Callithrix jacchus: one gene and its partner. The protein of the gene in region 1 purifies or fractionates together with the protein of each later gene. This does not show direct contact. Links are inferred from orthologs where the notes say so. Each region holds a gene or a part of one and is shown on either strand. Other genes may lie near its edges. The genes, in order: KCNA5 and KCNAB2.

Region 1 (4,289 bases):
CAGGGAACTAAAGTTCTCAGGCCAGATGTCAGAGTGAGGAGGGCTTGTATCAGAAAAGGGCATTATGCATTTCTGAAGAGGGATGAAGTATAGGGGATGAGGGCCAAACTCTGAATTTGAGTTCCAGCGTCATCACTTTCTACCCGCATGAGCCTGGGTGAGTCTGTCAATTTCTTTGTGCCTCAGTTTCTTCGTTTATAAAATGGTGATGATGATAGTATTTACAAAATAGGTTGCTGTAGGAATACCCAGAGACATTATTTTAAAGTGCTGAGAACGGGCTGGTGCATAATAAGAGCCAAGTAAGTACTGGTTGTTATTATTCCACTCTTGGGAATTCTCCAGCCTTGGAGATTGCAGTATCTCCCTGGCTCCCTCTCATACACCACCTCCACCCTCAGCCCCCTTCATGGACCTTGATGCAGTTGCTAGCTCCAAGGTTCACCAGACAGGATCGGCCCTCACCAGAATTGTAAAAATCTCTCCCCTCCTGCCCTGTTGTGGCTTTTGCAAATGGAATTCGTTGCAGGGGGTGGAAGGGTTCTGCTGGTTTGAGACCAGACAGCTCATCTCTTGACTAGGCTGCCTGCCTGGGCTGCCACTGGGTCCATACTAGAAACAGGGCAGGGTATGGGGACGCTGCAAGGTTCCAACCCCGTCATACCTTTTTGTGGATCTGTAGGAAGACGGGAAGAGAGGTGCTTCTCCATTGATAATATGTATTTCAAGGTCCGTAACTACTCCACGCCCCCTCCCGTCTGCAATTCTTCCCAAAGAAACACCGTTATCTCTCCAGAGTAAAAAGGACTGTTGTCTCCCGTCTCTGTCTCTCGTACTCCGACTCAGCTCAAAGCCTGTCCTTTTAACCCAAGGCACTTCGTTCCTTCTGGAGTCCACTCGGCTTCCAGCGGGTTCCCAGGTGAAACTGAAATCCAGAGCTATTCTCATCTGGTTGCCCTGGGAATTTCGGCGCTCTCGGTACAACCTGTTCCTCCATCCTCCCCACTCCTTCCCTCCCTCCGCGGGGCTGCACCCTTCTCGGCCCCTCCTTTCCCTTGCTAGGGGCCCCAGCTGCGCCCTCCCGGGAGACACTCGGTGCCACGAGACCAGGCTGGGGAAGCGGGCGGGGGGGGGGGGGGGAGGCGGGGGGGAGGGGAAGCGGGAGGAGGGGGAGGCGGGGGAGGAGGCGGGGGAGGCGCCCAGGGTGGAGGCCAAGCGCGGCGCAGCCAAAGAGGGGCGGCTGAAGGTTGCATCTGCTGGAAGGAGGCTTTTCGGCTGCTTGGTAACCGGCTGCCAGAAGAGAGAGAGAGGCAGAGAGCAGGGCAGCGGCTTCTTGACGTCAGGACCAAGCGAGGGGATCGCGCCAGCAACCCCAGCTCGCCCCAGAGAGGGGGCCGGCCAACCGCGAGAGCGGAGCCCGAAGCGAGGCGCCAGCGGAGCGTGAGTAGGGGGCGCGGGAGCCGGTCAGCTGGGGCGCAGCATGCCCCCTGCCCCCGCGCCATGGAGATCGCCCTGGTGCCCCTGGAGAACGGCGGGGCCATGACGGTCAGAGGAGGCGATGAGGCCCGGGCAGGCTTCGGCCAGGCCACAGGGGGAGAGCTCCAGTGTCCCCCGACGGCTGGGCTCAGCGATGGGCCCAAGGAGCCGGCGCCAAGGGGACGCGGCGCGCAGAGAGGCGCTGATCCGGGAGCGCGGCCGTTGCCTCGGCTGCCCGAGGAGCCGCCACAGCCTCGGCGGCCGCCTCCGGAGGACGAAGAGGAAGAAGGCGACCCCGGCCTGGGCGCGGAGGAGGAACAGACTCCGGGCGCTGCGGCTCTGCACCACCAGCGCGTCCACATCAACATCTCCGGGCTGCGCTTCGAGACGCAGCTGGGCACCCTGGCGCAGTTCCCCAACACCCTCCTGGGGGACCCCGCCAAGCGCCTGCGCTACTTCGACCCCCTGAGGAACGAGTACTTCTTCGACCGCAACCGGCCCAGCTTCGATGGCATCCTGTACTACTACCAGTCGGGGGGCCGCCTGCGGAGGCCGGTCAACGTCTCACTGGACGTGTTCGCGGACGAGATCCGCTTCTACCAGCTGGGGGACGAGGCCATGGAGCGCTTCCGCGAGGATGAGGGCTTCATTAAAGAAGAGGAGAAGCCCCTGCCTCGCAACGAGTTCCAGCGCCAGGTGTGGCTTATCTTCGAGTATCCGGAGAGCTCTGGGTCCGCGCGGGCCATCGCCATCGTCTCGGTCTTGGTCATCCTCATCTCCATCATCACCTTCTGCTTGGAGACCCTGCCCGAGTTCAGGGATGAACGCGAGCTGCTCCGCCACCCACCGGCGCCCCACCAGCCTCCCGCGCCCGCCTCTGGGGCCAACGGCAGTGGGGTTGTGGGTCAGCCCTCTGGCCCCACAGTGGCACCACTCCTGCCCAGGACCCTGGCCGACCCGTTCTTCATCGTGGAGACCACGTGCGTCATCTGGTTCACCTTCGAGCTGCTCGTGCGCTTCTTCGCTTGCCCTAGTAAGGCAGGGTTCTCCCGGAACATCATGAACATCATCGACGTGGTGGCCATCTTCCCCTACTTCATCACCCTGGGCACCGAGCTGGCAGAGCAGCAGCCGGGGGGCGGAGGAGGCGGCCAGAATGGGCAGCAGGCCATGTCCCTGGCCATCCTCAGAGTCATCCGCCTGGTCCGGGTGTTCCGCATCTTCAAGCTCTCCCGCCACTCCAAGGGGCTGCAGATCTTGGGCAAGACCTTGCAGGCCTCCATGAGGGAGCTGGGGCTGCTCATCTTCTTCCTCTTCATCGGGGTCATCCTATTCTCCAGTGCCGTCTACTTCGCGGAGGCTGACAACCAGGGGACCCACTTCTCCAGCATCCCTGATGCCTTCTGGTGGGCAGTGGTCACCATGACCACTGTGGGCTACGGGGACATGAGGCCCATCACTGTGGGGGGCAAGATCGTGGGCTCGCTGTGTGCCATCGCCGGGGTCCTCACCATCGCCCTACCTGTGCCCGTCATCGTCTCTAACTTCAACTACTTCTACCACCGGGAGACGGACCACGAGGAGCCGGCAGTCCTTAAGGAAGAGCAGGGCATTCAGAGCCAGGGGCCGGGGCTGGACAGAGGAGTCCAGCGGAAGGTCAGCGGGAGCAGGGGATCCTTCTGCAAGGCTGGGGTGACCCTGGAGAATGCAGACAACGCCCAAAGGGGCAGCTGTCCCCTGGAGAAGTGTAACGTCAAGGCCAAGAGCAACGTGGACTTGCGGAGGTCCCTGTATGCCCTCTGCCTGGATGCCAGCCGGGAAACAGATTTGTAAATGGAGATTCAGGCAGACTGGTGGCAGTGGGGTAGGGAATGGGAGGCTTGCTGAACATGGGTATCTACATTACACCGCAGAGTATTGGAAGCCACACTGTAACCTCAGTCTACCCTCTCCTTTCACTTCTCTCCTTCCTCCCTTCCTCCCTCCCTCCATCCCCCCATTTTCCCTCTTCTTTCCATGACACCCAAGGGTCGCCTATTTTTAAAAAGTACCACGTTCCATGACGCAGGAGCTGTTGAAATGGCGAGTGCTGTGAGATGGATGTATTTGTAGCCTATACCCAGCAGAGGGATAACCCAAACAAAAATGACTCTAAATAGCCCAGATCCCAAGAGATTATGTAACCCCTCCATCCATGTGTTCCAAGTTTGCTTTACATATGATTATATTTGAGTATAGGGGAAAATATTATTTTTATGGCTGGTAAGTGGCTTTTTGTACTGTAGTTCAGATAGAGATATTTTGGATATGCTTTCAAGATACATGTTGTATTTACGGAAGAGAGAGTTGACCTGATGTTTCTCTGTGATACTTATATTTGAGCCAGAGATCTTGGTATGAGCTGTTCTGGTTCTTGTGTGTCCAAGCCTCTGATTTTTCTGGGATGTGGTATTGGTGCTTTGTGTCTAGGGCAGAGAATGTTCTGGAGGAAAGGCAAATCTGACTTTTTCTGTGCGCCTTAAACAACTCTTGTAACTTTCTTCAAAAAGCATTTTAATGATATTGGAGGAATACTTCTGATAATTTATTCTCTTTATTTGTATCCCAGGAAATAAAAGGTTACTTTGTTGAGGCAAGTGTTAGTTTTTCTGCAGCTGATACAGTTCTGAAATTTAAAAACAGTCTGTCACTGGCTGTTTCTGGTTTTGAAATCAGAGCAAACGCATTGACTGGGGTCAGAGGAAACTTGGGAAGCTCATGATTCGCTCGGCGACATCTTTCCAATGCACCCCTTGGTGCCTCATAGACAATGG
Region 2 (4,252 bases), on another chromosome or scaffold:
CACGTGAGAGGCTGGATTTCCTTCGCAGACGTCCACCAAAGCCACACATGGCGACATATGGAGACAAAAAGCAGCGGTCACCTAAGAAGACAGACATGAGGAATCTCGGGCAGCAGGGGGGCCTGCACGTGTGGGGAAGGGCACGCGGGAGCGGGTGTCGTGTTCCGGGTCCGGTCGGCCGGGAGATCCCAGGGCAGGAAGGGGGCGCGGAAGGCCGAGGTGGCCCCGGACAGAAGAGAGCCTCGCGGGCACGCCCGAGGGCCGCAGAGCAACAGCCGGGTACAGCAGGAGGGAAACGGAGGCGAAGGTGGGGTCCGCGGGCTCCGGCCGGGGAAGGATGTACGCAGACCCAAGAACCAGGTCAGCGGCACCACAGTTCCTTCAGCCGAAGGGCTGCAGAGGGGGCAGGAGGCAGGGGGCAGGGGGCAAAGGGCAGGGGCAGAGGGGGAATCCACGTAGCCCAACTGCAACCGGCGGCCCGGGCCGCACCAAGTGTCCCGACGAGGGGGGAAGCCTGCGACTGACGCGGGGACAGGCCTCGCCGAGCGCCGCCGCCAGACTCCAGGCACCCGGCCCCCACACAGAACGGCACGGACCATCCTACCCCAGAACCCCGAGGCTCCGGCAGACACTGCAGCCCGGTGCGCCTCGAGGCCGCGTCCAACCTCCCCCGTGGCGTTGGCCCACATGGTTCCGCCCGCCGCGGGCCGCGTTACCTAAGAGACCGGCCCGCCGCGGCCACGCCGGAGGCCGCGGAACCCACGCTTTTGAGAGAGTCCCCAGTCGACAGACCCAAAGGCCCGGCAGCCGGTGCTCAACGCAGCCGGAGGCCTTAAGGACCGAAAACTGGCCGAGGGGCGCGCCCCGTCCGCTGCCACCCGCGGGAGGAGCCTTGGAAGGCTGCGCGCGCCGCGCACTTCAGGCCGAAAACCCGCCTCGCGTCACTTTTGCCGTCAGGGCCGCGGAGCCAATCAGAGCCCAAGTCTAGGGCTAGACTTCGCGAGCGCCAGCCAATCGGTGCGGCGGCGGGCCCGTCCTGATTTGCATGTCCGGCGACCCTGCAACCAATGGTAATGTGACTGGCGTGAACAGCAGCCAATTCGAAGCTGGAAGAGGCGTGGCCCCGGGCGTCCCACGAGGTGAAGATGCTGCTGGCGGAACCTGCCGGAGCGAGCGGGATTCGGGGGCGCTAAAGTCGCAGGGGCAGGGCGGGAAGGAAGATCCGGCGTGGGGCTCAGGATCCGGAGCTGGAGCCCCCAGGTGAGTACGGGGGAGACCCCGGCGGGGCGCGCTTTCCCCCGACCTGCGCCGGGACGGCGGCAGCGGGCACCCACGAGGCTCGCGCTGCGGCAGGCGCCGCGGTGCCGTCTCCATCTCCTCTTCCCCGGCCCTGCGTCCCTGCCTCCGCCTCCATCTCACCTCCTCCTCAGCCTCCTCACCTCCTTCTCCGTCGTCTCCCTTCCCCCATTCCTTCCTCCCTTTCCTTCGCGGTCCTCCCGCCCGACCCTTCAGCTCGCATCCCAGACCCCTGCCCCTGCCGCCGTCCCTCTCCTTCACCCCGGTGCACCTCTTCCCCGTCTCGGCCCGCTCCGGTCCCCGCAGCCTCGCCCTCCCCTTCCCTCCTTCCTCCTCCCATCCCCTCTCCCGGCCTTCGCGCAGCCCCACCGGGGCGCTGCTGGTCCCGGTCCTCCCCATCTCTACCCCCGGTTGCTCCTCAAGGCTCACCCATCGTTCTCGCAGCCTGTCCCTGTATCGCTCCGGTCCTTTTCTCCATCGTCCCTCCCTCCCATTCTGCTCCCAGCCCCTCCGACCTCTCCCCGCGGGCACGCTCTCATCACCTTACCTGGCTCCCCAGGACTGTGACCCTGCTTCCTGCACCCGTTCCTCGAGCTGTCTACACCCTTGAGCCCCTACTATCTTAAGCTTCTCCCTCCTGCCAGGCCTTGGCACAAAGCACTTCCCTACCTGCTGCTGCTCCCAGGAGGGATGCAAAGACCCCGCTGCTGCACCACGTCCTGCGGCACTAGCAGTGGCAGCAGTCGGGGTACCTGCCCACTTTCCCACCCCCCCATCCAGGCGCATCCTGGCGTTGCTCCTCCTGCCATTTGTCCTGGGGCCTCCTGCAGGGGCTGTGCTTTGCCTGCAGCATCCCAGGGTGCTCCAGGTGGGAAGCCCCTTAACACCCTTCCTCCCTGGCCACCATCTCCCTCCCTCCCCGCCCCCACTTTCCTGCTCAGCCTCACTTTGTGATTCAGCATTTTTGGGGTTGGTAACTTTCTTGCTTCCTGTAGTGATAGGGACCTGGCCACGAAACTGAAGGCAGGGGGTCTTGACCCTGCAGTTAGAGGGCTACCTTAGGAACCGGACCTGAGCTGCCTGGTTGGGAGGGGGCTGAGGAGCTGGGGACAGCCAATGGGGATGGCCTTTTCCTCCCTTTCATTTGTCTGCCCTGTGTTGAACTGTGTCCAAGCGGAGATGGCATAAGTAATAGCTATTGGGGAAATGGACTATTAGCATTTATGGAAATTAATACATCCACATCCGAGGAGCAGGAACACCAAGTTCAGGCCACAGCTGTCCCACTGTCTGTCGCTTCAGGATTTCTTCTTTCTCTGCAACTTCTCCCCCTCAAAAACGCCAGCCTCCTCCCTCCCCTTCCCCCCAGTGCCAAGAGTAAGCTCCTGCTTTGCTAAGGAAGCCGCATTCAGGCCCCGCGTTGCAGGGTTTGGGGACCTATGTGTGAAGAGTCGCATCTGCCCACCTGATTCTTGCCTGGTGGCTCTGTCTCCCCCAGAACCCTGTGCAGCTCCTGGCCCTGTGATTTGACAGTGTGGGGCCGTAAGAATGCACTTGGTCCCCCAGGTCCTGCCATTCTTTCTGGAGACAGCTCTCCAAAGCCACACTCGGCCTCGATGGCACTGACGGTGTTGGGCTGCATGCAGCACATCTCTGCCTGGAAAGCAGCATGGTAGAGGCTTCCCTGTCCATACCCAGGGCCATTTTTTTTCCCTGCGCCAGTCAGCACATGCTTTGTCAGTGCTAATCGGCACCTGGGGACTGAGCCGGGCACTGGGGCTGGTGGTGTCGTAAAAAGTGTGAAACCCTTGTCATGTGTTTCTTGGTTCACAACCATCTTAGTCTGGATACAGAGCTGGATGGGAAGCAGGGTGCACAGAAGCCATCACACCCAGGAGATGGGACATGGGCCACCATGCTAGGGAACTGGAAAGACCGAGGGTGCCACGGGATGGCCAGCTAGAGAAGGCTTGCTCACTTTCTTTCCTTTTTCAGCAATCTTCTAAGACCCAAATGATTCAGGAGGAAGTGAGCGCCACACGGTTTTGATTTGGCAGTTTCCGGCCTGGGCTTGGAGGGAGGGACCTCCCCCAGACCTTCCTGTGTGTTGGTGCTCTGCCATGGTAACATGCTTCCATTTCCAGGGACTCTGGCCAGGAGTGGCATGTGTTTGGTTCTTGGCTAAATTCTCTGTGATTGTCACGTTGTTAGAGTTCCCAGAGAGAATGTTTTTCTGGGGTCCCTGAATAAGGAGGCAGGACAGTGGGCCACTGGGAGCGGTATTCGAGAAGGTTTGATGCCAGAGGTGTCTAAGGCCATAGACCCATGCCTCCCACCAGTCCCCTTCTCAGCACCAGGAGGACTTGGGTCGTGGCCACCCAACAGCCGGTCATCCTTGCTGCCAAAGGACTAAATGGAAACCCAGAGGACAGAGGCTTCTCCAGGGTCACACAGCGGCAGTGACAGAGCTGGGTTGGACCCCCTATTTCCTACTTATTTGAACCCAGTTCATATCTTGGCTATCCGAGCTGGGGGAAGCTAGCACACCAGGACATGACCGGCTCTCTCTTGGGAAGGCCACTTGGAGGCATTGCTGACGTTCATGGTAACAGCCAGTGCCCTCAGGTGTGTCCCAGTTGCTGGAGGGGCTGTTGGGAACGGGAGGTGCCACTACCGTGGAGATTTCTCAGTGACTCACTCTTGCCTGGCATGCAAAGGTGCTGTTGTTCATGGCCTTCAAAGAGACGGCCCCATAGGTAGAGAAGAGTGAGGGCACCAGGTCCCTGGTTGGATGAGGGAGAGGAGGGACCCTCCCCACACTGGAACTGCACTCATGACCTCAGTTCACCTCAGGCACTTTTAAATAACCCTGCGAGGGAGGCTGATAGGGAAACTGAGGCACAGGGCAGCACTGAAACTGATCCCGGCCTTCCAGGTAGCGAGGAAACCTTAATTC

The links.
Region 2: the proteins of KCNA5 (region 1) and KCNAB2 purify together in Homo sapiens (co-immunoprecipitation; 3 studies listed by BioGRID and IntAct, counting the BioPlex papers as one, with this or other methods). This does not show direct contact. The link is inferred for Callithrix jacchus from reciprocal best matches to the Homo sapiens genes KCNA5 and KCNAB2.

What each region holds. Positions count from the first base shown.
Region 1 is NC_133510.1:18,649,575-18,653,863, forward strand, and holds KCNA5 (potassium voltage-gated channel subfamily A member 5), read left to right. Parts: upstream 1-1,384; 5' UTR 1,385-1,500; coding exon 1,501-3,309; 3' UTR 3,310-4,112; downstream 4,113-4,289. UniProt on the Homo sapiens protein: Voltage-gated potassium channel that mediates transmembrane potassium transport in excitable membranes. Forms tetrameric potassium-selective channels through which potassium ions pass in accordance with their electrochemical gradient.
Region 2 is NC_133508.1:43,886,022-43,890,273, forward strand, and holds the start of KCNAB2 (voltage-gated potassium channel subunit beta-2), read left to right. Parts: upstream 1-1,166; 5' UTR 1,167-1,260; intron 1,261-1,725; exon of another isoform or gene 1,726-1,793; intron 1,794-1,843; exon of another isoform or gene 1,844-1,965; coding exon of another isoform or gene 1,966-2,082; exon of another isoform or gene 2,083-2,217; intron 2,218-4,252.